Linked DNA regions of Lonchura striata. The protein of the gene in region 1 purifies or fractionates together with the protein of each later gene. This does not show direct contact. Links are inferred from orthologs where the notes say so. Each region holds a gene or a part of one and is shown on either strand. Other genes may lie near its edges.

Evidence for each region.
Region 2: the proteins of ITGA3 (region 1) and CD9 purify together in Homo sapiens (affinity purification with western blotting; 3 studies listed by BioGRID and IntAct, with this or other methods). This does not show direct contact. The link is inferred for Lonchura striata from reciprocal best matches to the Homo sapiens genes ITGA3 and CD9.

Annotation. Positions count from the first base shown.
Region 1 is NC_134627.1:8,521,440-8,534,136, reverse strand, and holds the start of ITGA3 (integrin alpha-3), read right to left. Parts: upstream 7,446-12,697; 5' UTR 7,444-7,445; coding exon 7,250-7,443; intron 1,503-7,249; coding exon 1,381-1,502; intron 1,295-1,380; coding exon 1,212-1,294; intron 818-1,211; coding exon 568-817; intron 222-567; coding exon 138-221; intron 1-137. Other genes in the region: NPEPPS (puromycin-sensitive aminopeptidase), read left to right, coding at 11,141-11,459, 12,236-12,555.
Region 2 is NC_134607.1:3,685,047-3,701,803, forward strand, and holds the start of CD9 (CD9 antigen), read right to left. Parts: upstream 6,799-16,757; 5' UTR 6,733-6,798; coding exon 6,667-6,732; intron 1-6,666. UniProt on the Homo sapiens protein: Integral membrane protein associated with integrins, which regulates different processes, such as sperm-egg fusion, platelet activation and aggregation, and cell adhesion.

The DNA.
Region 1 (12,697 bases):
GTCACCCCAATGCCACCACTGCCCCCCAGTCTCACCATCCCACATCCCAGCGGGGTCTTCAAGGCTCCCTGAGTCCCCCCCACCCCCAGCGTTCCCCCTAAACCCCCCACCCAAACCCCTGCCGGGGTCCCCCCCACCTATGTAGGTGTTGCCGTTCCTCTTGTTGGGGTAGGAGAAGTCGTGCAGGTCCCACGAGTCCCGCTGGAGCATGTAATCCGTGCCTGGAACGGTGAGGGGGGTCACCCACAGCCTTGGGGGGTCCCACGGGGGCACGGGCACCTCGAGAAGGGGGTCCCAAGGGGCCACAGACCCCCTGGGCAAGGAAGCGTCCCCAGAGGTGAGGGGAACCCCAGGAAAAGGGGTGCCAGAGGGGTGACCCCAGGGCTGGCAGGTGCCCCCCAGGAAAAGGGGTGCCAGAGGGGTGACCCCAGGGCTGGCAGGTGCCCCCCAGGAAAAGGGGTGCCAGAGGGGTGACCCCAGGGCTGGCAGATGCCCCCCAGGAAAAGGGGTGCCAGAGGGGTGACCCCAGGGCTGGCAGGTGCCCCCCGTGCCCCCCAGGACCCTCACCCTGCCAGTTGTAGGCGCCGGGCGCCCCGAAGTAGATGATGTTGGCGCCGAAGCCGGCGCTGGTGCCCATCTGGCACATGCCGGTCTCGTCGGTGTCGGTGTTGGCGTTGCACATCTCGTTGTGGTACGTCTGCCACTCGTCGGCCAGGTCCAGGCGCAGGTCGTTGCCCCGCACATAGCAGCGGCCGACCATGCGGCGCTGCGCCTCCGCGCCCGACCACAGCACCCGCGTGTAGCGGTGGGCACAGGCCTGGCACGGGGACAGGGACAGGGACAGGGACAGCTCAGGGACACATCAGGGACTGACCACAGCACCCGCGTGTAGCGGTGGGCACAGGCCTGGCACGTGGACAGGGACAAGGACAGGCACAGCTCAGGGACACATCAGGGACTGACCACAGCACCCGCGTGTAGCGGTGGGCACAGGCCTGGGGACAGCAGGGACACTGAGGCTCAGGGGACATCCCAAATGTGGAGGGACACCCCAAGGGTGTGTGTGTGTGCAAGGAACAGGGATCTGGGTGTGCAAGGATCTGGGTGTGCAAAGAACAGGGATCTGGGTGTGCAAGGATCTGGGTGTGTAAGGAACAGGGATCTGGGTGTGCAAGGAATGGGGATCTGGGCGTGCAAAGCCCCTGACTCACCAGGACCCTCCCCGGCGGCTGCCGCTGGCTGGCCACTGTCACCCCCAGCCACATGTCCTCGATGATGGCCTTGTCGGGCTCATCTGCGGGGGAAGAGCCGGCCTGAGAGGGGGTCCCCACGCCCGGGGGGGGTTTTGGGGTGGTCACACACCCCGGGGGGGGCACCCACCCTTGAGCTCGATGGGCAGGCGCTGGCAGTCGCGGGTGGCAGCGCTCAGGGGACAGGCGTACACGGCGCCCGTGCGCGTCCCGTTCACCGGCTCCGCGTCCCGGGGGGCCCCCACCAGCAGCCTGGGGGGCACGAAGGGGGCACCTGGTGGGTGATGGGGGGAGCAGGTCCCACCCCCCAGACCCCTCCGACTCATTTTGGGGTGCAGAGAGGGTGGGTGGTCTGGGGAGGGGACACTTGGGGGACACCGGAGCTGCTTGCCCAGAGTTTGTCACACCCTGACACCCCCAAATAACGAGGTCAGCCCCGTCTCCAGAGCTGGAAGGGGACACAGGGACCCCAAACGGCCTCAGGGACAGACGGATGGAGTCACCCCACTCTTCCCAGACTCCATCCCATGGCTGAGCCCCATCCCCATGCACGGGGGGTGGGAAGAGGGGTCACAGTGACCCCCCCAAACCTCGCTGTGCTGGCGGGGAAAAGGAGAGGGAGGGGGGGGCTCAGCACCCCCAGGACAGCCCCGGCCCTTCCCGGCCAGGCTCTGATCCATCCCCAGCCCCGGCACAGCTGCGGCGTGTCCGGCCGACAGCACCGAGTGCCGCGCCAGGGAACGCGGGGACAGAGCCCCGGGAGCGGGGAGCTGGGACAGACACCCCGAATCTGGGATGGATCCCCTCATCTGGGATGGATTCCCAAATCTGGGATGGATCCCCTCATCTGGGATGGATTCCCAAATCTGGGACGGACACCCGAATCTGGGATGGATCCCCTCATCTGGGATGGATCCCTGAATCTGGGATGGATTCCCAAATCTGGGACGGACACCCCGAGTCTGGGATGGATCCCTGAATCTGGGATGGATCCCTGAATCTGGGATGGATTCCCGAATCTGGGATGGATCCCCGAGTCTGGGATGGATCCCCGAATCTGGGATGGATCCCCTCATCTGGGATGGATTCCCAAATCTGGGACGGACACCCGAATCTGGGATGGATCCCCTCATCTGGGATGGATTCCCAAATCTGGGACGGACACCCGAATCTGGGATGGATCCCCTCATCTGGGATGGATTCCCAAATCTGGGACGGACACCCGAATCTGGGATGGATCCCCGAATCTGGGATGGATCCCTGAATCTGGGATGGACACCCGAATCTGGGATGGACACCCGAATCTGGGATGGACACCTCTCATCTGGGATGGATCCCCTCATCTGGGATGGACACCCGAATCTGGGATGGACACCCCGAATCTGGGATGGACACCTCTCATCTGGGATGGACACCCTTAATCCAGGACAAACACCCCTCACCCCGCACAGACACCCCTCAGACACCCCTGACCCCGGCTGTCCCAGGACAGGCAGCACCTCCCAGGGGTGACCTCCCCCAGGAAGGGCAGTGCCATGGGGGACATCGGCATTCCAGGCTGGATGTGCCCCCCAACCCCTTCAGCTGATGCTAAAGGGACCCCCCCACCCCAAAGGAAGATGCTGGGGAGCCCGGCAAGGCCCCGTGGCCCTGGCATGGGGAGCTGGCATGGCTGGAGGGCTCCGGAAGGGCCGGACTTTCCGCCGGGAAGTCCTTGGGGAGCGCCAGGACAATGGCGTGGAGGTGGCCGTGCTGGGGAGGAAGTGACTCCCTCTGGCAGGCGGGACACTCGGGGGGACACGGCACCCAGGACATGGAGTGGGACATGGCACAGAGGACATGGCACCCAGGACACTGGGGGACATGGGGGGGATACGACACCTGGGACATGGAGGGGGACATGGGGGGGGGGGGGGGACACAGCACCCAGGACATGAGAGGGACATGGCACCCAGGACATGGAGGGGGACATGGCACAGAGGACATGGCACAGGACGTGGAGAGGACACAGCACACAGGACACGGCACCCAGGACATGGCACCCAGGACATGAAGGGGACAGGGCACCCAGAGATGCTCACTGGTGTAACGAGCTGGCCAGTCCTCAGCAGGGCCACCAGCGAGGACAGGGCCAAACGCCGCCGTGCCCATCCCCGCGGTGCCCATCACAGCAGCGGCGGACGGGGCCAAACGCCGCCGCGCCCGCTCGCCCGTTCCCCCGGCAGCGCCGGCGGGCAGGGAGTGCCGGGAAGCCGAGCAATGCGCGGCCGGCAGCGCGGGCACGTCCGGGCGGGCCGGGCGCTGACTCAAAGCCCAGGCGCAGGAGGAATGCGGGGCCGCGGGCAGCCCCCGCCCCGGCACGCCGGGACCCCCCCGGGGCGGCTGAGTCAGCCCGGGGCTGCAGGTGGGGGGGGCTGGCACCGCTCAGCCCAAAGGGGGGTCCGGGGGGCTGCTCCCCGCAGGAATGCCAGGATGGGGGTGCCGCAAAGCCGCTGGGCAGGGAAGGGAGCCAGGGGGGTGATGGCTCGCGGTGATGCCAGCTCGGCACGCAGGAATCTGCCCCCCACCCCAGCTGCAAGGGGGGGGCACAGGGGCACCATTGTCGCCTCTTACCTGGGGGGGAAGTGACTCAGGGCGGCTGCTGTGACTCAGAGCTGGGGGGGTGCTGCCCCCACACCCCGAACCCCACCGGGACCTGCAGCCCCGGGGGTGCCCCCAGGCTCCCCCGGTGGTCCCGGCCCGGCCGGACCCCGCCGTCCCCGCGGGTCCCGGGGGGCGGGAGCCCACCCAAGCCAAGCAGCTCCGGCACGCCGCTGCCTCCAGCCAAGATTCCCGGCACGGCAGCCCACCCGCAGCTCCGCTCCTGGGAGAGGAGGGGTGCGGGGCTTTCCAAAACAGGGGGGGCACCCAGGGGCGGCCCCCGCCCCGCTGTGAGCCAGGGGGCCACGGGCCCGCGGCTGCCCGGGGCAGCGAGCCGGGATTCTGGAGGGGCCGGGACCAGTTTGTGGCGCTGGTCCCAGTGGGCTGCGGGGACGGGAGCTGGGGCTGTGCTCGGCATGGTCAGAGAGCGGCACGAGGGGGAGGCCGGGACGGGAGGGAAGCAGGAATGTGAGGCCGTGCTCCGTCCTAATCCGCCTTGGCAAGCGTGGGGGGGCTGGATGGAGCGGGGGGAGCTCCCTGCCAGCGCTGGCTCCGCTGGGAGCGGGGGCTGTGGGAAGCTCCGGGCACCAGGACCCCAAACTGCGGCCCCCCCTGCGGTGGGAGTGGCGAGGATGGCAGAGAATCCCACCCGGACACCTCAGCACGGTCTGGAACAGGGGGGTCGTGCACCCCCCGAGGCCCCCAGCCCCAGAACCCCCTCCCCAGGGAGCAGCTGGGCAGCGAGGGGAGCTCCTCATCCATCTTCGCCAGGAGCCGGGAGGAGAGGAGCAGGCGGGGGGAGCCCGGCCCGCCCCCAGCTTGTCCCCAGTGCCGCTGTGTTTGTCATGGGGGTCCCTGGGCAGGAAATCCACCGGGACCCCTCTGGGAAGGAGCCGGGAGTGGGGGGACAGCTCCGGGAGGGATGGATGGACGGACGGACGGACGGGCGGATGGATGGATGGATGGATGGATGATGGATGGATGGACGGACGGAGGGATGGGTGGATGGATGGACAGACGGCCCCACATCCGTCCCCCTCCTCCTGCCGAGCAGCCGCAGCCCCGCAGGACCCCGGCGGATTCGGGCCAAGGCAGGGGGAGCTCAGCCAGCTCCAGCAATCCGCAACAGCCCGGCCGGGGGGAGGGAAAGCCGGGAACGCAGCCAGGAGAGCGCTCTCCTCAGCAGCCAGCTGGAATCAGGAAGACCCCCGAGCCCCGGGCAGAGCCCCAGTTCCCAGAGGGCTGCAGATGTGGGTGCTGCCTCCCCTCTGGCTGAAGATTTTGGGAGGGTGGGTGTCCTCAGCTTTCCTGGAACGGATCTCCCGTGCCTCAGTTTCCCCAGGTCACCCGGGGACCTCCAAACCCACCTGGGCCGGGCCGAGCGGCTCCGGCAGCCAAAAGCGGCTCCGGGTGGGAGCGGCCGGACGCGGACGGCCCGAGGAGCTCCGTAATCTCGGCTGATAAGAGCCCCGCTCCCAGCCGCGCTCACCTGGCCCGGGAGGAGCGAGCAAACAAACCTTTGCATGGCACAGCTCCGCGGGGCGCGCTCGGCTCGGCGGGGGCGGAACCGGGGGGCTCCGGCATCGCCCCGGCCCCGCCGCGCCCACCCGGGACTTCGGGGATGCCGGCGCTGCCCCGGAGCATCCCAGCAGCCAGGGCAGCAGCCAGCCCCCCAAAAAAGCACGGGACCCCCCGTCCCGAGTGGCACACGGGGCAGGGCGGGGGCAGGAAGCGTCGCTTTCCTGTCCCCACCCTGCACCTGCGAGCGGAGGGCGCCGCCGCCTTCGCCCGGCACCGGGCCGCGGGTGCGACCCCGGGGGGCTCCGGGGGTCCCCCAGCGCCGGCCGCACCCCGGGGCGGCTCCGACGCCCCGAAGCGGGGAGAGAACGGCGCGCTGCTCCCCGCGGAGGCTCCCGGGGACGGGCCGTGGGTGCCCGGGGGGGTTCCGGCTCCGAAGCCGCTCCCCGCCGCCGGCGGAGCCTCCGCGCCCCGCCGGGATCGCGCTGGGACACGCTGGGACACGCGGCGCAGGTGCGGGGGTGGCGGGTCCCTGTCACGGCCCCCCCAAAACCTCCCCCGGGGCCGTTCCCGACCTGTCCCGGTGCCAGCCGCGACCCCCGCCCGGAGCCCCCCGGCTGCGGGGCCACCGGAGCGGGCAGGACCGGGCCGCGGGGGCAGGGGGTCTCCCGCACCCCTCCCGGGGCTCCGCGGGAACGGCTCCGCTCCCTCCGGCACGGGAGCAACAACAGCTCCTCATCCCACGGCCCCAAATGCATCCCTGGAATGCGGAGCGGCACATGCCTGCACGGGCAGCTGCCGCCGGCCCCCCGGGACAAACGGGGTCCCGGGGGGTCCCGGGGGTCTCCAAAAGCCCCCCCCCCTCGCAGCCGGGAGAGCCGCGGGAAGGTGATCCAGCAAAATCCCGTGCCCTTCAGGGGGACAAAGCCAGCCCAGCCCCTGCGGCGGGGCTCTCTCCCGGCACGGACGGGAATTCCCGGCCAGGCGGGACCGGGGCCGGGGAGCGGGGCGGTCCGGGACAGCGGGGTACCCCGGGGGACAGCGGGGGACACAGCGAGTGACAGCGGTGCGACGGCACGGGGGCTGCTCCGGCTGAAAAGGGCTTTTGTTGGGGCTTTGCCCGGCAGCAGGAACCACAGCCCAACAGGTTCCCGGGCACGGGGCCCCGCCGGCACCGGCGGAGCTCGGGGGGAGCTCGGGGGGCTCCGCCACCGCCCCGCTGAGGGTTGGCGCCGGCCGGGACCGCTCGGCTGGGAAGGGATCCCCCACCCCGAGGGGCTCCGAGCGCACCTGGGGGGACACGGGGTGACCCCACGCTGCTGCCAGACGCCCCCCCGTGTCACCGGGACCCCGCGGTGGGCGCGCAGCACGCGGGGGATGAGGAGGGGGCTCGGGGTGGGACCCCCAGCACCCCCGGGGGACCCTCCGTGCCACAGGGACCCCGCCCCACGTGGGACCCCCATCCCAACGGGGGACCCTCCCCGCTCTGCCCCACCCCACGGGGGATCCGCACCCCACGGGGACCCCAACCCTAACGGGGACCACTCTGAGCGCCTCCGCCCCGCACGGGGAACCCCGCATTTCACGGAGACGCCCCCGCTGACAGGTAAAGCGCTGCCTCACTCTCCTCGGCCTCACGGGGGTCCCAACCACCGGAGACGCCCCGGATCCTCCCGGGGACCCCCCGCACCCCCACGGGGGACCCCTCCCGGTTCTTCCCCGTCCCAACCCTCCCCCCCCACTCAGGTGAACCTCGCCTCGCTCTCCCGCTCCGCACGGGGAGCGCAGCCGGGCCCCCCCCACTGCACGGGGCTCGCCCCCCGCCCCCCGGCCGCGCTCACAGGCTCCGCTCCCGCCGCTCCGTCTCCCGGTGCAGCGCTACCGAGAAGCCGAACAAGGCTCCGGCGGGGCCCTCCTTGAGCACGGGGAAGGTGCGGTCCAGGTTGAAGGCGGCGGCGGCGCCGAGCAGCACCGGGCCGAGCCCCAGCAGCAGCCCCGGCAGGGGCGGCGGCAGCAGCCGGCGGCGCCGCGCCATGTCCCGCACCGGCCGCCGTACCCGCCCTGCCGCCCCACCGGGACCGGTGCGCGGGGGGCGGGGCCGGGCGGGGCCGGGGCGGGGCCGCGGCGCTTCCGGACACGCCCCTTAAAGGGGCCGCGCACCCCGCGGGCACCTGCGCGCTCAGGTGCGCGGGGCAGGGGGGGGCGGGCGCACCTGGGCAGCCGCAGCTGCGTCACCCCCGCCGGGGGTCGCGGGGCTCGGACCCCGCCCCCTGCCAGACCCCCCGAGTGCCCCCCTCCCCAGTGCCCCCTCCCCAGTGCCCCCTCCCCACGCCCCCGCGGGACAATTCCCCCCATTCCTCCCGCCCTAATCCCCCCGGGGTAGGACCCCCCTACCTGGCACCTCTTTGGGATGGGACCCCCCGGCATGGGACCCCCCCAGGAGAGAGGGGACCCCCGGGACGAGACCCCCCCCATGTCAGGAGGTCATACCGGGACCCCGGGAGCGGCACCGGGGCGGGGCCGGGCCGTGGGACAGCCCCGCCCCCGCGGGGACAGGGAGGGGACCCGGCGGGGACATGGCAGCATCGCCGCTTCCCTGCCGGGGGCGGCGGCCGCGGCTGTCACCGTCCCGACCCCGGCAAAGGTCACCGGGAGCCGCCGCGCCGCTCCCACCGGGCCGGGAAATCCGGGCCGGGCTGGCCTGGGGGGGCTGCAGGATGTCCGGTGTCCCCCGCCCGATGTCCCCGTGCCCCTGTGCCGTGTCACCGGCACTGGAAAGAGTGACGGCAACGGCGACATCGCGGGCAGCGCTGCCGGCAGCGGCAACCGGCCCTGGCGCGGGGACCTCCCTGTCCCCACCCTTGTCCCCATCCGCTGTCCCCTGTAGCCTGTCCCCTGTCCCCAACCCCTGTCTCCAATCCCCCATCCCCTGTCCCCATCCTCTGTCCCCTGTACCCTGCTTCGTGTCCCCATCCCCTGTCCCTTGTCCCCAGTCCTGTGTTGCCCAAATCTCCTATCCCCATCCCCTGTCCCCATCCCCTGTGCCCATTCCCTGTCCCCTGTCCCAAATCCCCCGTCCCCTATCCCCAAACCCCTGTCCCCCTGTCCCTATCCCATGTCCCTTGTTCCCAATCCTCTGTCCCCAAAATCCCGTCCCCATTCCCTGTCCCTTGTCCCCATCCCCTGTCCCAAATCCCGTGTCCCCCCAATCCTCTGTCCTCATCCCCTGTCCCCAAATCCCCTGTCCCCAATCCTCTGTCCCCCTGTCCCTTGTCCCCATCCCCCGGCCCCGCCCGCAGTGACACCGATGACGTCACCCCGCGGTGTCATTGCCCCCAAAGGCCACGAGGTGGCGCCATTGACCCAAAGATGCTCGGGGGGGGTGGGGAGGGGGTTGGGGCGCTCGGGGACCCCCCAAGCCCAACCCCCGCGGCTGTGACAGGGCCGGGGGGACACGCGGGGACTCCCGGGGACCCTGCCGGGCTCCGGGACCCCCCCGGCCTTTTTGGGGGACATGCGGAGGAAACCCTTCAGCCTTGGGGGGTCACGGGGGGGTTGTAGGGGTGTTGGGGGGTACCCCCAGCCCTGTGGGGGACCCTCGTGGGGGACTGGCCGGACCCTGTGCTCAGCCCTGTCCGTGGAACCCCCCAAAGACCTTCGGGTGCCCCAGAACAGCGATTTCAGCCCCCCCAAACTGCCCCCCCAGCCCCTCCCCAGCCCTGAGCTCCCGCATTTGGGGTTCCACAGGCTCGGCAGCCCCAGAGCTCCCAGCCCCAGACTGGTCGGGGACTGGCCGGACCCGCTCCCCCTCCAGCCCCGCTCCGCGCTGCCCTCCCCGGCCTCCAGCCCCACAACCGGCTTTTCCTGCCGCAGCGCCGCTCCCGGCGGGGCCCGGCCCTGGCGACAGCGCGGCGGGAGGGCGACAGCCAGGCTGGGGGCCTGCGGATGTCCCAGCGGCTCCGGGGACCCTGGGAACCTCCCCGGGAACCCCGGCGCAGCTCCCAGGGCTGGGCTGGGCTGCTCCCAGACACTTCTGTCCCCTCGGAATGAATTCCTGGAATCCCCAGCTACAATTCCCACGTGGGAAGCGAGGCAGTGCTGTTCTCCCGGCTCCGGGGTCACGCTCGGCCTCCTGCAGAGGCCCCTGCTTCCCTTGGGCATTCATCCCTGCTCTCTTTATTTCTGCTTCTATTATTTCCATTTATGTCTGTTTCTATTTCTATTACTTCTATTTCTGTTTGTCCTTTTCCTGTTCTAGCTCTTATTGCTATTCCTATTAATTCCTATTCCTACTTCTAATCCCATTCCTACTTCTAATCCTATTCCTACTAATTTTCCTGTTCTTATTCCTCTTTCTATGCATTCCTATTCCTATTTATCCGGGTTCCTATTCTTATTCCTATTGCGATTTATTCCTGTTCCTACATCCATTCCTGTTCCCATTCCTGTTCCCGTTCTCATTCCCATTCCCTCTCCTTTCCCATTCTCCATTTTTCTCCCTCTTTCCCCGCAGTCCAGCGGTTCCGGCGGTGCCGGGACTCGAACCCGCGATCGCCGGGGCTCTGCGCAGTTCCCGCCGTGGCCGCCAGGCGGAGCCGTTGCCCCGCGCCGCGGGCCGGGCCGGGGGGGACCCGGGGGGCACCGCGGGGACAATGCGGGGAGGGGGGACACCACACACAGGGGACAGGAGGGGACACACAGGGGACAGGAGGGGACAGCCCCGCCCGGGCCACGGACCCAGACCCCTCCCAGCCCCCGGTTCTTGTCAGGGGAAGTTCCTGCCCGCAGAAGCAGAGACCCCTCCCCAAAAATAAACCCACCCCTTTCAAAGTCCCCCTCCCCGGTTCTGGGGCGGTGGGGACAGCCCGGCGGGTGGCCTGGGGGGGGACCAGGGCTGGCCCGCGACCCCCGGCTGGGTCATGCTGCTGGGGGTCCTTGGGGCAGCACAGGGGTCACAGCTCTGAGTGGGGGTGAGAGAAGGGCACAGACCCCCGGGGGGTGTCCCCCAAAATCGGGGCTTGTCGCTGCCCCGAGGTGCCGCCAGTTGGGGGTACGGGAGGATCCTCTGGGGGGGCTCTGCCTGGGGGTGGTGTTGGACTGGAGGACGCTGCTGGGAGAAGGGGGGAGCAGGGGAGAAGTCGGGGGGCCGTAAACAAACCCCTAAAACCCCCAGCCCCAAGCACGGATCCATCCCCATCCTAAATCCCAACACTCTTTCCCTGCCTCACAACAAACAAACTCAAACACTCCTCAAAAAAATCCCCCCACAACCCCAAAATCCCCTTGTAAACAGCCCTGTCCTGTCCCCCACAGTGTCCCCTGTGTCCCCGGGACACCCCTCCTGCAGGCAGGACCCTGCACACTTTATTTACTCCCTCACCCTCCTTCACCCACTCTTTGTTGTTTCTTGAGAGAGAGAAGGAAAAAAAAAAAAAAAAAAAGAAGGGAGAGAGGAAAAAAAAAAAAACCCACACAGGAGGAGGCAGGAGCCTATTTTGCCTCCCAGGCAATATTTCTGGAGCCAATCGGAATGCGCACCCACCCTGCCCTGCTCCCTAATTAAAGGCTTTAAGCAGGCGGCCGGGGCCGGAGGTTTGGGCACAGTCTCTCGGTGGCTCCTCGCGAAGCAGCCGCAGCGCCGGATCCCGCTCGGGGCACGCCAGGCCGCGGCCGCCGCCAGGTTGGGGGGTCCCCGGCGCGGGCAGGCAGCCGCCCCCTCCCCGCTGCCAGCCATGAGCGGCTCTTTCGATAAGAAGCTCTCCAGCATCCTGACGGACCTCTCGGGCTCGCTGAGCTGCCACGCAGCCTCCAAGGACTCTCCCACCCTGCCGGAGTCCTCGGTCACCGACCTGGGCTACTACACGGGCCAGCACGACTACTACCCGGGCCAGTCGTACGGGCAGCCCGTGGGCCACTACCCCTACCCCCAGTTCAACCTGAACGGCATCGGCGCCGCCGGCACCTACTCGCCCAAATCCGAGTATTCCTACAGCCCTTCGTACCGCCAGTACGGGCACTTCAGGGAGCAGCAGCTCCCGCCGCAGGAGGCAGGTACGGATGGAGCGGGGCACCGGGAGCGTGCCCGCCCCGCCGCTCCCGCGGGGTGCCGGGGGGGCTTGGTGCGGCTTTAACCCCCGGGCTTTGTGGGGGTAAACCCCCCGGGCTTTGTGGGGGTAAACCCCCCGGGCTTTGTGGGATTTTACCCCCCGGGCTTTGTGGGGTTGTGTCCCTCGGGGTGTCCCCGGTCTTTGTGGGGTTTTAACCCCCCGATCTTTGTGGGGTTGTGCCGCTCGGGGTGTCCCCGATCTTTGTGGGACTTTAACCCACCCCTCCGCCCCCGATTTTTGTGAGGTTTTAGCTCCTCGGAGTGTCCCCGATCTTTGTGGGGTTTTAACCCCCCTGTTTTTATGGGGTTTTACCCCTGGGAATGTCCCCGATCTTTGTAGGATTGTGCCCCTCCGGGCTGGGGGCAGGGGGCTGCTGGCGGCTGTGGGGGCTCAGCCGTTCCCGTGGGGACGGCTCCGTGCTGGATGCAGAGTCCGGGACGTGTCCCGGGGGGGTCCCAGAGGTTGTCGCAGGGGACGGGGCGCTGCCAGCACCCCGAGCGGGGTGACACCGGGCTGGGGACGGGTGACACCGAGCTAGAGACGGGTGACACCAGGCTGGGGAAGGGGTGACACCGAGCTAGAGACGGGTGACACCGAGCTAGGGATGGGTGACACCGAGCTGGGGAAGGGGTGACACCGAGCTAGAGACGGGTGACACCGGGCTGGGGACGGGGTGGCTGCCCTTGGAGCCCTTCACGCTCACCCCGCGCCCTCTCGCAGTGTCCGTGAAGGAGGAGCCGGAGCCGGAGGTGCGGATGGTCAACGGGAAGCCCAAGAAGATCCGCAAGCCCCGCACCATCTACTCCAGCTACCAGCTGGCCGCCCTGCAGCGCCGCTTCCAGAAGGCGCAGTACCTGGCGCTGCCCGAGCGCGCCGAGCTGGCCGCGCAGCTGGGGCTCACCCAGACCCAGGTGAGGGCTGAGCCCCCGACACCCCAAATCCCCCCGCGGGAAGCAGAGGGGGAGCCGGAGCTGCCACCCCCCCGGAAATCCTGGATTTGGGAAGGGCTCGGCTCCCGCGGAGCCAAAAGGGGTCTGGGGGTCACAGGGACGGAGTTCCCCACTCGCTGTGGGTTGTGGGGTTCCCGGTGAGATTTCCCCGATGGAGCAGATTCGAGGGAAAGGTGGAGAGGACGGATGCAGCAGGGAGAGGGGAGCCCAGCCATGCCCCACGCGGCAGTTT
Region 2 (16,757 bases), on another chromosome or scaffold:
AACACATTTTAAAACCTTGAGATTTTTTTTTAAAAAAAACCACCACCACCACCAAAAAAAAAAAGCAAAACAAAAAACAAAACAAAGAAACCAAAAACCACCACAAAAAAACCCCAAACCAAAACAAAAAAAAAAAACAAACAACAAAAACCCCCAATCAAACAAAAAAACCAAACAAATCCAAAACACCAATTGTGTTAACACAACCCATACCAGCACAATGTGTGACGCTATTTTGAAAAGCTAGGAAGTTTATTTTTGATTTAACCACTATTTTGGAAGGACCATTTTGTTCAGTCCCGTCTGACCTTGTTCCCTTGTTAAGGGACAATCAGCCCATTTGCCTCAGACCTCTTAGAGCATCTTATATTTCCACAGGCGGAATTGCCTCTCAAGGAGCTCAAGGTCCAAGCACTTACCAAGTCCTCAGACAGTTCTTTGTCCCAGCAGACAAAGCTTTGGGAAGGGGACACCCTTCCCCAGCCCTTCCTGCACTTCCACAGGGTGGAGGCAGGGATAGGGAAGTAATCAGACAGTTCAAGACCGCCTGATAAATGGCTCAAAGCCTGTAAAAATAAACGCCCTTGCACAAAAAAAAAAAAAAAAAAAAAAAAAAAGGTGGGTTTTGCCATTTTGACACCTTCAGGCCAAGTTTACATACAACTTCTACCATGCTCATGGCATTACCTCTAGCAGAAGGTACATCATCAGGTGAAAATAAAGAAGTCAGTCAAAAATAAATACTATTTTCAGTGTTGTCATCTAACAGAACACCTTTTTTTTTCTTGAAGTAAGATGGTATGTCAGGCTTAACACTACTGTTCCATATATGGGTTTACAACAGGATGTGACAATAAGATATTAAAAAGTCACCATCTTCATTTGATAAACACTTGAACTTTAAGCTAAAAACCTGACTGCATAAGAATTTACTTCTTACTGTTTTAGACTGAACTAAGAAAGCTAGGACCAGATCTACAACGTTGCAAAGCACATGCAAAGAAATTGAGAACATTATGAGTAGTAATGAACTGTTTCTGTCCTTTCACTGGCTGGTACTCCATAAATAAAAACGCATAAACAGTAAGTACAGGTGAGGCTCAACATCACTCTAAACCCTCAATTACAGAATTAGTGTTATCCACAGCAGCACAGGTTTTCAGAGTTTTGAAACACTTGTGCTAATGGGGGCTTGCAGTTATACAAGAAACTGCAGCTATTTTCAAACTAGTTTGGAAAAAAGTGGATTGGAAAGGAAGTATTTTCTTTCTGCTTAGCTAGTTTCAAGAATGTTGTGGTCTATGTTAATGCCACAACACTTTTTGCAATAAAATGGTGCTCCAGTACAGTAGGAGCAGCATTACAAAATTCCTGAACCACTGCCAAGACTAGTGCCCATTTCATACAAGTTCCTATTCAGAAGTAAGTCTACTATATTTGCAATTAGAATTGCAAATAGGAGCCAGAACTGCTGGAACTCTAAGAAGCTTCACATCAGGCTTCTCAAGGCAACATACTCCAAACTCCATTCCTGACTCCACAGAACTTACTGGAGTCAATAGACACTGAGCTGAGCCCAAGCAGCATTAGATTCTTACACTGTAGCCAGCAACTGCACCAGTTCTATACAGAAAGCAAAAGCAACTAATTTCTGGGGTTTTCACATGTGCCTGCATATATACATACTAAGAGACTCGTGCATATTTCCCTGCCCATCCTGCAAGTCCTCTCTTGGAGGAAGAAAGATCCTCTGAATTGCTGTTGTTGGTGCACAAAAACAGCTGAGATTAGGGCTCAGAACAAAACCACAGATATCTTCAAGCTACAGAAGGAAAAGGGCTCTCCAGGCCTTATTCTGCTCATCTTACTCCAGCAGGCACTACCACACACAAATGTATTTATTCATAAAACACGCAGCACTCTGGAGAGTAGGAAGTCAGGGCAAGAGAGCTGCCCAATAGTGAAAAGGAACAAGAAAATGACTGCTCAAAATTTCAGCATCAACTCTGTGCTACAGCACTTGCTTGCCTAAAATACATTAAACCATAAATATTAGCAGCAGACATCTTCATATTCCACAAAATTAACAAGAGGAAAACCCAGCATTAATGCAAGTCCTTGCTTTTGTTCAGCATCAGGAGGCAGTGGGAGAACAGGCAGGCATTTGCCTAGTGTGATCCAGGTTGCTCAGAAGCCCACAGTTTTCCTAGGAAAAGACTTCATCACCAGGACCAACAAGCCTGAGCAAACCCAAGGAGTTAAGGGAGCACAGCTAAAGGCAGTCACTCACACAACTCAAAGCAATCCAGCATTGCTCACACTAAGGTTGGTCCAAGGCAACTTTGCTAAGACCACTCCACTGCTCAGGTTTAAGGCATGAAATGTGTTGTTTCCATTGACTTCTTGCCAAGCTCAAGCCAGCCTGGTGGGAAAAAAAATTTTAGTTCTGTATCAGGCTTGACACCTCCCTCCCACAGGCCAAAACAGCCCCCAAACTTGTATGATTAGAAAGCAGACTGTCAGGGATGCCAGGGCCAGCACTGGCCATGCCAAGACAGCAGAGCTGCTTGCAAACATGGGTGGGAGAACACCAGCCCCAGCAAGGACAGCACAAGAGCAGCAAGGAGCCTGCTGCAACATTCCATCCCAAGAGGAAACACAGCCATCCCTAATTCCTACCCCTCAAAAGAGAGGATTGAATCCCAAAACTTATGGATCCATGCTTAACTGGACTTGGTGCAAACATCCAAAGATGTCCCCTTCCTTCCATTTAGGCCACAAGAACATTTTAAGCCAAACTCTGAAGCCCCAAAAGTTTCAGAGAATGCCATGTTAATGCCCAGCCTCCCCAGCTAGAGAAAGGCCATCAGATCAATCAAGCACGAGATCTTCAGGAAGGGTTAAGAAAACAGGAAAGAAGGTAGCATTTCCCAGGACCAACCTCCTGGGCTACATGCTGAGCATTTAAAGATTGTGCTAGGATATGAACAGCACCTTGAGAGAAGAAAAAATTAACAAAAGGCTACTGAACTCCATATTAGCAGGTTGGACTAGATGATCTTAAAGGTCTTTTCCAACCTAATTAATTCTGTGATTAACCACTTATCCCTTCACCAACCTACCCCTCTGAGGAGAAAGCATCACCACTATCCCCACAGTGACACTTTCCTTCCAAAAATGTCCTCTTTCCTGGCTTAATATCCCACAGCTCTTGCTCACTGCCCCTTTCAATACAGTCAGGCCCTACCTAGTGCCTGAACAATCATGATCCTAAGGATTTCTAGCACATTTCCATGCTGAAGATAGAATTGCTGATGACAGAAACAGTCCTCTTTCTTTTCCAAACATTACCAAGTTTCTCTGTGATCCTCTCAAGGCAGGCAGATGACCAGAGCAGCCTGCAGGACTGTGGGACACCAGCATGCCATTGATTTTGGGAGCTTTACGCACCATATTCTATCTTCTCTCAGTCCTTCATTTCTGAAGCTGGTTTTGCTCTGTTGACACTGAGCACTCACCTGGTGCTTTTGTAAAGACATCATAGATTCTTTTCTCCCAAGGCTTCACTGCTCCATGGCAGCAGCTGATAGCATTTAGTTCCTATCTCCAGGCAGCTTCTGCTGGTGCCTTCCATGGGAATTACCTGATGCCTGCCTTTGTTTAGAGTCACACACCCTGTTCTGACAGCTGGCAGTTATCACCTCCATCACCCTGGACGACGGGTGCCAGCTAGCACCCCAGCAGTACCCTCTGTTCTTCTTCAGATGAGGTGGGGCTATACTGACCAGCACAGTGCTTCTCTCTGCAATAGCAGAGCTGCACCTCACCACAGCCCTGCCTCCACTCCAATACCCATCTACCTCATTCTTGCCAGGATCTTACTCCAGGACTGCCTGGTTTGCACAAGAGGCCTGAGATTTCCAGGAGATATTGAACAAGTGAACCAACGCCAACCAGTCCTCGCCTTCTCCAACATTCAGGCTTCTGCTCTAAGGCAGCATCTTCATGAAGTCTGACTTCCCCTTGCAGTAGCTAGTCACTCCTGTACATGTACACCAGCTTTTAAGGAATCTTCTCTCCAGATAGTCCATGTGTGCTACTCCCTGTGTGCTCCAGACTACCCTAAAGCAAAAACCCAGCCTCCAATTCGTTGCATTCCAGCTCAGAGAAGGGATGGTAGGCAGGGGGAGTTACCTAATCACAACTCACTTAAATGTTCTGAAGTGTTGTGTGACCTTGGAGAATTGTTAATCAAACATTTGCTGCTCCTCCTGTTTCACTTCCTTTGCATCAAAAGGTCAGTTCAAGCCTGTGCAGGATTCAGAGTCAAAGACAGGTTATGGCACAGAACTCTGTGAAAATCTTCCCCAGTAAAATAAAGTCCTGCTGAACATCACTCCCAAAACTTTTATACCTGGAGCCATTACTGTCTGGAAGAACTCCCTGAGAAACTCTTTTCCTCATGTGTCTGAGAAGGGGTATGTTACTTGGGTTTGCTTTTGCAAATTACTCCTAAAGCTTTCCTTTGGCTAACATTAGCAGCATTTATGAACCTTTATTTCCTTCCTTTGCATACAGCTTCAAATTTGAAAGTTTCAATTTTTATTTCAATAGCTTCCTTTACCAAGTTGTTTGAGACTTTCTACTTCCTCTTACCCTTGTTCAAGCCTCTGATGGAAGCAAGTACATTCCACCTAACGTGGCACCCACAGCCTTCTGTGCAGGGTTGCTGCAGACCACTGAAATTCCTGACCTATCCTTTTGAGGCAACTTATTTCAAAAAACAGAGGTACAGAATCGCACTTGAGCACAACAAGTTTTGTTAACACACTTCCATTACTTCACAGATTTTTCACATCTGCAAAGCCATAATAAAACATTACAGCCTTTTTTCTTATTAGGGTGGTTCTTGCCTTTTAATGCTGGCAGCTCCACAACACCTTTCTTTTTATGCTGTTCAATATGGAATAACCCAAGATACAGCTACTTTATTTCTCCATAGAGGACACAAGGTTTGCTAACACCATACCCCCTAAACTCCCCTTCAACTGTTTTCAGCAGGCCACAATGACATGTGGTGGTCCCCACAAACCAAGGATCACTCCAGCTGGTCAAACACTCCCTTATCTCTGGCTGAACCAAGCTGCTTGCATCTCACTGCCTCTTGGGGCCTCCAGACACTTACTGGGATCACCAAGATGCATTTATCTCCTTTTAATTCCTTTTTTCTTCCTCTTCTCTTTCCCACATCCTAGCTGCATACTGCTAGCCTCAAGAAGCCAACTTGAAAAGCCATCATCTCGCAGCTCCTCTGGGCAGCAGCACCACTCTCCTTCCATCCACCCCGTCACCAGTACAATTCTGTATTCGCGAGCACCCCTAAAGGTAGAAGTAAAGCCTGAGCACTTCATGATCATGACACTCCCAAGCGACAAGTAGATCCCGAGCTAAACAAAAACTCTCTCCCTATTCTCAGCCCTGGTCCCTAGACAAGCTGGTGAAGCTCAGGTTAAAAGCTTCTTTGAGGCAATGCCGTTGCCACAACAAGAATTTTTGTCCCATAAAATACTCTGCAGAAAGTCTACGGCTTTGAAATAAACAAACAAAAACAAGGCAAACCACGAGTACTTCAGTCTCGTTTAACAGGTTTAGAAACTCACTTGAATGTAAGTTTCAGACAATGTTTTATTAGGCTTTTCCTTCTGATCAGCTCTAACCCTGCAAATGCGACAGCGCTGCTGGCGAGTCCCGGGTGGCAAAATATGCTTTTTTGGGTCAAGTTTTGCACAGCTTCCCTCAACTGCAGCCCAGCTGTGTATTCTCAACTCTGCTGCAACCCATTTCGGCATCGAGACATCCCGAGCACTTCGCCCATTATTAACACGGCAACTTCCACTCGTCCCACGGGCAGTGCTGCGACTGACTCCAGACGCGGCTTCTTCCCGCAGCTCCAACTTCATTCCTCCACATCACAGCCACACCGCGGCCAACAGCCGAGAGAAGACGCAGCTTTTGAAGCCACACACTTTGCTCCTATCCGTCAGGCATACGAGCGGCTCCCGCAGTAATTTTCCACGCAGGAGCCAGCGCTAAATCGAGGTGCCCACGCCCCGAGGGCTTGAGGACAGCTCCAACCTCTCGGCTCAGCCATGCTTTCTCACGCCGGCCAGGAACCACACCGGAGACGCGATTCGAGGGGTGCCGGTCTGCTCCAGGAGATTAAACCCGAAGGGAAGCCACAGCTCCCACCGACAACGAGGAGCTCACACACACGACAACTTGCGAGGAGCCGGCTCACCTCGGGCTCAGCCCCGGCACCGGGAAAGCCGGCAGGGAGCCCGACCTGCGCACAGTTTTAGGGAGAGGATTGTGTGCAGTGCTGGGGATGCACAGTGGGAGCAGAATTGCACAAACCCAGCACCCCCTCCCCGCCTGGCAGCGCCCTCAACCCGCCTTTCGATAAAACCCCAAAAACGTGAAAAATAAAGCGGTGAGCACGCCGGCACCCGCTCCCTCTCCTTCCGGCGGGGGGCAGCAAGTGGAGAAACCAGCAAAAAACAGGCATCAAAAAACCAAACCAAACGCGGCTCCCGGCGCGTCCCCTCCATCCCCGTCCCGCGGGCTCCTCGCCGGGCAGCGCGGGGGACGCAGCCCGGGGCGCCTCACCCAGAAGATGAAGTTGAAGCCGAAGAGCAGGTACTTGATGCACTTGGTGCCTCCTTTGACGGGCATGGTGGCGGCTGCGGGCGCGGTCACCAGGCTGCCGCGCTCCGACGCCGCTCCTTAAATGCGGCCCTGCCCGGGCCGCTCGGGGACTCCCCTGCCCGCCCCCGGGGCCGCCCCCGGCCGCGCCCCGCACCTGCGGCCGCCCCTCTCCGCCCCAGGCCGGGCGGGCTCCGGCAGCGCCACACGGGGCCGGGCCCCGCCAGCCTTGGGGCTCGGAAATGTCCCGGCATGGAGGGGAAGCCCCGGGAACGTCGGGGTCCCGCTGCCGGCCCTGCGCGGCGCCGCCTCTGCGATCCCACCCTGGCAGGGTTGGGGTTGTGGCCATTCCCTGGAGAGCCCGCTCAGTGCCCCACCGCCGCCCTCTGGGTGCAAAACTTCCTCCTAATGTATAATCCAGCCCACCACCCCAGTCCGGCCTGCTTTTGGTACAGATCTCAGAACCCTTAGGGCTGGAAGGGACCTCTGTAGGTCACCCAGTCCAACCAAGGCAGCGTCACCCAGAGCAGGCGACACAGGAATGTTTCCAGGTGGGTTTGGAATGTGTCCTGAGAGAAAAGAATCCACACGCCCTCCCTAGGCAGCCTGTTGCGGTGCTCTGCCACCCTTATCGTAAAGAAACTCTTCCTCGTCTTGTGGTGGAACTTCTTGTTTTAGTTTATGGCCATTGCTCCCTGTCCTGTCGCTGGGCACCACAGAAGAGAGTCCGGCACCATCCTCTTGACACCTGCTTTGAGTTATTTATATGCATTAATGAGATCCCCTTTCTGACTCCTCTTAATAATCAGGCCCAGCTCCTGCAGAGATGGTCCAGAGCCCTCATCACCTTTGTGGCCTCTGCTGGATGTTTAGTTTAAAATGAATCCATCTAGCTTAAATGGATGTTTTCTCACACAAGATAAACTTACAGCGTAGTTCAATTCCTTTAATATTTCAAATATGTCTTCAAATATAACTTTGTATGAAATTACAAACATCCACTTTAGGAAAATAAGGCGGGTAAGTTTCAGCCTACCAACTGATCCATGGTAGCTGGTTGCACACGTGCTCTTAGGTCATCCCAGTTGTGAGAAAAAACAAGGTAAATTTCAACTAAGAATTTCCCTTTCATCGTAACAGGGTGTTCTGCACTCAGCATCTGAGCCTCTTAGCTCAGGGGTGAAAACTGAGGGCTTGTACCTTAATTTCATACAGTGGGATTAGAAATTAATCAGGTATTGAGAGTCAAAAAAACACCCAAACAGAACAGTAAAAACAGAAAAGCCATGCTGAAATGCAAATAAAAACATATTGGAGTTTTTGTTGCCAAAATAAAGGATAAGATACAGCACATTCCAGAGGCAATACGGAGGGGGAGATGCTGGCTTGGGCAGCTGCTTCCCAGAGCAGGTTACAAATCAGGAATACCTTTCCTATAAAATAAAGGGAAGCAGAGGGATGGAGGCCACAACAATATAGATGCAGAAAGGATGAAGTTAACAAATGCATGTGACTAAACTCTCATGGTAACTGGAAACTGAGCAAGGTTTTCTGTGTAACTTCTGGGTTGGTTTTCTTTTGACACTTTCCCATTAAGAATTTATGCTGTTAGTTAAAAAATAGCTGCTTGTAGGATTGAAATTTGTGTTTCATTCTATTGATTTTTCTTTCTTATTCCTTACCCTCCCCACTCCAATGCAGTTCTTAAATTCCTCTTGGTGGTTTTCCTTTTCTCCCTTCAGTTTTTTCTAACTGTTTTGAGAACGGAGGAGGAAATATTGCTGAGTAGAAGTTGCAGTATTGAATATTGTTCCTTTGAAGCTGTTGGTTCTTAAGATGTCATGTGAGGTCCCTGAGAAAAAAAAATGGTATGGAAGTATATTTCAAAATGAGCTGTCTATTTTTTGCCACTTTAGTGAGGTCATTGACTTCAGGACCTTCTGTGAGATGGTCAGATGAGCAAGAATAGGGTTTCCAAATATTTCTGGTTACAGACTCTTTGTGTCTTTGTGAGGTCTCTGGTCATTTCCTGCTGACCCCACCACAGATTGCTCCATAGCTTGGGAAGCCTGTGAAAAAGTCACTTCCTCTTTCCACCAGCATCTCTTTTTATACTTCATACATTTTTTCCTGCAGACCTGGAATGATATTCAGGGTTTGCAGGTGGGAAGTGCTGCTTTAGACCTCAGTGGATGGGTCACCCCAGCTGGTGTCACAGGAGGCTGGCTGTTCTTACCCATAAGAAAACTCTTAGCAGGGCTTTAATTGCCAGTGGTGTTGGACTGCAGCTTATCTTTTAATGAAAGGGGGCTTGTATACCATCTCACCTATCTGACATGCTGAAAATCAGGAATACCTTTCCTATAAAATAAAGAGAAGCAGAGGGATGGAGGCCGGCCACAACAATAATGATCCAGAAAGGATGGAGTTAACAAATGTATGTGACTAAACTCTCCTGGTAACTGAGCAAGGTTTTCTGTGTATCTTCTGGGTTGGTTTTCTTTTGTCACTTTGCCATTAAGATTTATGCTGTTAGGTAGCATCAGTAATATAGCTTCCCTTAAGTTTCTAAAATTAAGGATCACAGAAGAACTTTGGATAATTTCCCTCCTAGCTTTGTATTATTAAGCTTCTTATGCTAATATTGCGTTAAAACAACTTTCTTTAAAATTCATGGGCAGTAACCTTTTGATCAGAGGCAAGAAATGGACCTGTTCAATAAAAACCTCCTGTGCATTTGAAAAAAAATTAAACACTCCCCATTCACCTGGCAAATTAAGTTATGAGGAAGTAAAATGTGTTTGTACATCTTCAGTATTCTTGAGAATATGGAAGGAAAATAATGCTGTGGCTTGGATTTTTTTTTGTGGGGTTTTTTTTTGGTTTTTTTTTGGTTTTTTTTTTTTTTTTTTGTTCTTGTTTGTTTTTTTTTTTTTTTCCATTCCATACAAAGTATCTGGCGAGAACATTTATGTTTCACTCTTCCAGGGTGTAACGATCTGGTAGATGCAATTCTCTGACCACACCTGAACTTCTCTAACTAGTGGAATGAGATAGTAATCAACTGAATTTCTGCATAATAGAAATCACTAAAGGAAGTTAATGACCCTTGTAGAAGTACTTCACACTGATTTATTATTTTGACACTTTGTATTTGCATGGGATAATAGGCATTTTACATGAAATATTTATTATCTGCACTTAAAATTACCCTGGGTGGTTAAAGAGTTATTTTGTCCTGGCACAGAGAAAAGCAAATTCAGGATATTACTAACAAAAAAAAAAAAAAAACAAACAACCAATCAGAGTTTACCAGAAGCCTTTTAAAATTACACTTTCAACAATCTAGACCCAGCACTAACTATCTGTAGAACTTTTCTCTACAGGTAGGCTGAGTTATTTTATCCTATTTAAATGTGAAACTGAATGTCATGTTTGGGCCAATAGTGAAGAGGAGAAGCATTTGCTTCTCGCCAGGAAAGATTTTCTCCTCAGACTGCACAATCCAAAGGACCCTGATCCTTTGATTAATATAGGAAGGCAAAGGAGAGGAGGGGTTTCTCTCCTGACTGTATTTAAGGATGGTGGGATTCTCTGGTAAGAACTGCAGAATTCCCTGCCTCCTTGACCTGTTTTCCTGATATCCCTGCCTTAAGAATATTTGGAAGGACTAGTGTCAACTGGCTTGAGGCCTTTAACCTTCTTTGCATAAACAGTTCCAGGTCTTTTAAAAGGTTTTAGCTCCCTTAAAAAGCCAGGCATAAACGGTGGGAACTGCAGAGAGATAAAGTACAAGGCTTTCCCCACCAAAGGACAGGGATTAACAAATTTTTTGAGTGTCAGTTAAAGGAGAAATACAACAACAACATTTTGTTCTTTGTAGAAAAGTTACATCTTTGACTGCCCAAGCCAGTCACAAAATTAAAAACCTGAAGGTTGTTTTGCTTGCTTTTTAGCTTCAGTGATTGGGTTTTTTTTTAGCAGGGACTGTGATGCTGGGCTGGATCTGTCTGTCTGGTGAACAGTGAGGCTGTACAAACACAGTTCTCTGCTGTCAGGGAGTTGGGGATGGATTTTGAGAGGAAGGAGGAAATAGGAAGTCACAGATCCTATGCTGATGTCATCTGGGTCATCCTAAACTCTTGAGCTTGTCCATGGAAAATAACACTAACTGCCTTACTTCTGGTCTCACCTTTCCAAACTAATTTTAAGGTACTTTGGTTTATTTCAACACAGGAATATTTTGGAATGGTGATGGGTGAGTGGTTCCTTCCACATCTGAGGCTGTGAGCGAGAGGCTGGTCTTGGAGCTGGAGAGTCAAGACTGGCATTCCATTGCAAAATGGAATGAGTCACTGCAAAAATGACTCACAGAGTCACTCATGCTGATAGCATTATGTGGAAGGCATTGTCCTTTTTTTCCAGTGCTGGTAAAAATGTGTTTGGTGTTTGGTATCCATAGCAGATAGATTCTGGAAGAACTCATGCTGGGAGTAAATCTGTACATCCTAGAAATGTGTCTGCTTTCTGCCACGAGAGAAAGGCTTTGAAGAAACTACAAAGCCCTGGGGGATTTCATTAGAAATTGGTCTTCTGCTATAACTGGAGGTGTATCTGGAAGTGAAAACACAAAGCCAGACTTCTTAATTTTTTTTTTTTTTTTTTTTTTTTTTAAATCTGAGATTTGAAGAAGTTTAGAAGAGATTTGGGCACATCCTTGCAAATATTTGGCATAAGACATTTGTGTATGATGCATGAGTAGTGATAATGTCAGGAGAGCAACTGGAAAATCTCAATATGAACTTAGGAACCCATACAAAATTGTTTCATAATTGGTTATCATTTTACTGGAAAACCTCAATGTGAACTTAAGAACCTTTATGAAATTGTTTTGTAATCAGTTATAATTTTCACATTTTGAGATAAAATGCATGGGATAAAAAGCAAAAATTCCAAAAATTCCACAAAGCATCCATTCAAAAGAATTCAGACATCCTTACTATTACCAGTGATGAAAATAGACTCCTTCAGGAAGGAAGGGTGATAAAAGGATGGAACCAGGCTCTGCTTGGTTGTGCTGGGCAATAGGACAAGAGGGAATGGACAGGAATTGATGCCAGGAGGTTCCACCTGGGCAGGAGGCAGAACTTCTGTCCTGGGCAGGGACCCAGCCTGAGCAGATTGTCCAGAGAGGCTGGGGAGTCTCCTCACTGGGGATATCCCAGACTCCTTTGGACACAATCCTGTGCCCTGTGCTCTGGGATGGCCCTGCTGGAGTAGGGAGGTGGCACCAGTGACCCACAGTGGTCCCAGCCTGAACCATCCTGGGATGTGGAGTATGTCATCATTACTTAGGGAGAAGGAAGCACACTTGCTTTTTTAATTGTTGTGAAATCCAAAAAATAGTCTGGATGCCCTTTAATTTCTCACAACAGCAGTTGGACATCACTGGAAGTGCGGCCCACTCCTTTTCAAGGTAAATCACCATTTCAGCCCCCCATGCTGCAGATAGCAGTGCTTGCACCTGGTTTCAGTGTGAGAGCAGGCTCGTGACTGGAGGACGGGAGACCAAAGCTTTACCAAACAAATGCTGCGACTCTGCAAGATTGCAAAGTGCCTGTTTGGAAATCATGGCTGTAACACGAGTTACTCCAAGGGTGATTCATTTAACTGCTATGTTGTCTGCATGTGTCAGACTTTTCTGTGTGGGTGAAGTTATTTTAGGAGCAGGGGACACGAGTGGGGCCACAGGCTGTGGCTGCTGTCGAGGGAGGTGCTGGCAGGTTGGGCAGGTCCTTGAGCACAGGGCCCCTTGATGTGACGCATCTCCCTTGCCACAATACAGCCCTGTGATGTGTGTGGGGACTTAGGGCAAACCTTTATAGGTGGAAGATTAAAAATCAGGTGTGTGAGGCTCAGATCTGACTGTTGTGGAAAAATAATCCTGGTTTTTCTAGCACATGTGAGAGAGAAATGCAGGCAGCATCAGGAAAAAGTGAGATGGCTTTAGGTCTATGTCTGACAGCCAAGAAAGCCACAGGTAACAGTCTTAGCAGTCTCTAGATGCTTTTATTTCCCTCTTCAAAGGAATAGAATAGGATAGAATAGAATAGAATAGAATAGAGCAGAATAAAGAGAATATTTCATTTATAAGGAACATACAACCACCATCTAGTCTGAGTACTTCAGGGCTAACCAAAAATTAAAGCATGGTATTAAGGGTGCTGTCCAAATGCCTCCTAAATGTGCTTAGTAACAATGCTCCCAAATCTGAAACTATTTCTGGTCTTTGTTCTGTTCCAGCCAGAGGTGGATTTCCAGGTATTTTCCTCTTATTCCCCGGCAGTCCCAGTTTCATGGATCCACAGAGCACAGGTTAGGCGGCTTCTCAGGCTGTCCTACCCAGTGCTGTCAGGTGGATGACTAGGAAATTGTCAAGATATTATTTTTAATCAGATTCATGGATCCATTAAGAATTTTACAATTTAAATTTTTGGTGCAAAGTAATCTGAACACTCTGGCAGAGTCTCAACTGTATTTATAAATCCTTTGTATGTATAACTATAAATATTTTCCATACCTAGCTAGAAACATTAGTTATGGACTGATCTTTGAAATGCTGGAGTTACTTTTCAGTCAATTTAAAAAGCAGGAAAAGTAATTATATCCAACAATGGAGAAAGGGGGAATGTTTCCCCCCAATTTTTCAGTTAAGCAAAAGTGTTTGAGGACATTTTTCCTCCTGTCCTCTCAGAAAGAAAATAAGCTTACTTTATGCAAATGCCAAGAACTAAAAAAATTATCCAAACCCCCAAGAAGTCATACATGAAAATTAATAAAAAAAAAAAAATCACCAGATTCTTTTCAATTTCTGCAGGAATGGTTTAATATTAGGATCTGTTTTGGCTCACAAAAAAAGCTCCTTAATCTCTGTCTTCACTGAAAATTAGCAGGAGTTAATTATTTAGTGGCTATTTTAAATAAGTTGTCACAGAGTAACCTCCTCCCTGTCTGCAAGGGAGAGGATTTTATTTCTGAGTAACTACATAGCACTTGCAGGTGAAGACAAAGAATTTTTAATTCTGAACTAGCACTTATGTGTGGGAGCTAATCCAAGCATATATTCCAACACAGGTCTAATAGTGTTGAACTGGATAAGGTTGATTTTGCTTTCTGGGTTTGTTTTCAACTTCATTTTCCAAACATGGATTTGGGTTTAAGCTTGTATTTCACTCTTTGGTAATTAAAGCAGCTATGCATGGCCTAAAGTGTGTGACTTAAAATATAGCTGCTTGTAGGATTGAACTTTGTGTTTCATTCTATTAATTTTTCTTTCTTATTCCTTACCCTCCCCATTCCAATCCAGTTCTTAAATTCTTCTTGGTGGTTTTCCTTTTCTCCCTTCAGTTTTTTCTAACTGTTTTGAGAACAGAGGAGGAAATATTGCTGAGTAGAAGTTGCAGTATTGAATATTGTTCCTTTGAAGCTGTTGGTTCTTAAGATGTCATGTGAGTTCCCTGAGAAAAAAAAATGGTATGGAAGTATATTTCAAAATGAACTGTCTATTTTTTGCCATTCTAGTGAGGTCATCGACTTCAGGACCTTCTGTGAGATGGTCAGATGAGCAAGAATAGGGTTTCCAAATATTTCTGGTTACAGACTCTTTGTGTCTTTGTGAGGTCTCTGGTCATTTCCTGCTGACCCCACCACAGATTGCTCCATAGCTTGGGAAGCCTGTGAAAAAGTCACTTCCTCTTTCCACCAGCATCTCTTTTTATACTTCATACATTTTTTCCTGCAGACCTGGAATGATATTCAGGGTTTGCAGGTGGGAAGTGCTGCTTTAGACCTCAGTGGATGGGTCACCCCAGCTGGTGTCACAGGAGGCTGGCTGTTCTTACCCATAAGAAAACTCTTAGCAGGGCTTTAATTGCCAGTGGTGTTGGACTGCAGCTTATCTTTTAATGAAGGGAGGCTTGTATACCATCTCACCTATCTGACATGCTGAAAATCAGCTGACAAAGTGTGCTTTTTGTGGGCCCCTCTTTTAAAGTCAGGTGAACGTTCATCTCTGAAATGACCAGGAGGTACTTGAGTATCTTCTCAAGCTTTGGTGACTAATGCCAATGTCACACAGCCTTGCCATTTTTACATCTGTTGGTGTCTAATGCTGTCAGAGGGGAGGGCAAAGTGCAGTGGGCAGGCCTCCAGTGAGTATATGCAACATGTTATGTAATTTATTTAGCTCCAGCTGCTATGAAAAGCATGATAGGATGGATACCTTCTCTGCTCTCAGCACTTCATAGCCTTTCAGCAATCACAATTGCTGTTGTCAAATGTTAATCATCTGGGAAGCTCTTGCAGGATGCTTTGTACAGGTGATGGATGTGATCTTGCCATCTGAAATCCCTCTGCTTTGATTCTTGTGCTGCATGTGCTTCCTTGGGCATTTATTTATTTCAGTGATGGAAACAGAGAAGCATAGATCATCAAGACCTGCTTGAGGCAAACCAGTCTGTGTCTTCCAGGGCAGAAGTGAGAAATAGGGCTGCTACAATCAATCTGTGAATTTCAAGTTTTGTAAAATGGAAACAACTCCCATCTTTCCTGGAAAAAAATCTTAAGAGTTCAGCAAATAGCATGGAAAAGAAATACATAATGTATTGGGGCTGCTCTTTAGAATAGGCCAAAGGTAAATAGTAAAAGCCAAGATGGAGAAACTCTGGATGTTGTGATTCAGTGTAGACAAGGGAGGTCACACCAAATTTGAGCTGATTGCTCAGTGTTCTGTCAGTGAGTGTATTTTCATTAAATCCAGCAACTAAGCATGATATTCAAGAAGAAACATGTTGCTGAACATGCTTTCCCTTTTCCATATGATACCATCAGGGGCAAGGTAATATCCTCTCCTCAAAGACAAGATGTGGTGGGTAGAGTAAAATAAATACATTTATAGTATAGTAAACATGTTTATATTTACTTTACTGTACTATAGCTTACAATTACTCTCATGTGTTTCTTGTTATGAATCACACTGCCTTGAAATGAAGTCCACACTTCTCCAGGTGCTTCAAATCACCATTAATTAACTGATGATTACTTAAACCCTCCTGAAGGGAGCTGGGCTCGCATCTACCCTGTGGTGTCCCTCAGGAAGGTTTGTTTTCTTGGGAAGATTTTTTTCAGAGATTAAGGGATGTTTTTAAAGCCTTAGCTTTGTGTTTCTTCTCTCAACTTCGAGTTAAACTGAAAATCTTCCTGTAAAGGCTCTTGCTCTACCTATGTTCTCTGCTGGCATGGTATGTGAAGCTTTCTTATTGGGGAGTAAAGCTATTGGACTTTTGATTGTTTGGTGAACCCATAGGTAGGTTTAAATTTAACAGCTAAATTAATAACTAACAACTGCAGTGCCACAATCTCCTTTGATTAAACCTCTGATGAACCTGGTGGATAAAAACAAGGGTCAAGATAGAGCATAATTGAAGATAATCCCTTTTATAGCAATCAAATGAAGGGAGGGCTGAAAGCCTCCTGAGAAATGGTATGTGCATTCCTGGATTTTTTTTCACTTTTGCAAGGAGGTAGCTTTGCATTCTCTAAGTTTGAAGTTCTGTTTGTTTTCTTATCTCAACTCTTGTAATATTTTTTGCAATAAATCACCACCTGAGAAGTTAAAGAGGTTGCAAATAAGCACCACTATATTATTATAGTTATTTTTGCATTGACACAGTTAAAATCCTTTGGGTTTGATTTAAGGAGTCATCTTGTTCAGTTTGTTACTAAATTTGAAATTATGTTTATTCTGTGCATGACTATAATACTGAGGGGGAAAGATGATAATAATTAGTATAACTGATGCAGGGGGGAATAATTTCCTCTTCAGAAATGCCTTGAAATAGCTGAAGGTGTACTTTTTGAGAGCTAGACTAGGTATTCTTAGTTTCTAAAAATATTTTAGCTGCTTTGATAAAATCTGTGAAAGCTCCTTCTGGGGGAAGGAGGGCTAGCCTCTTCAGATCACAGAAGGGATGAAGGTTTGAAATAAAATAGACCCA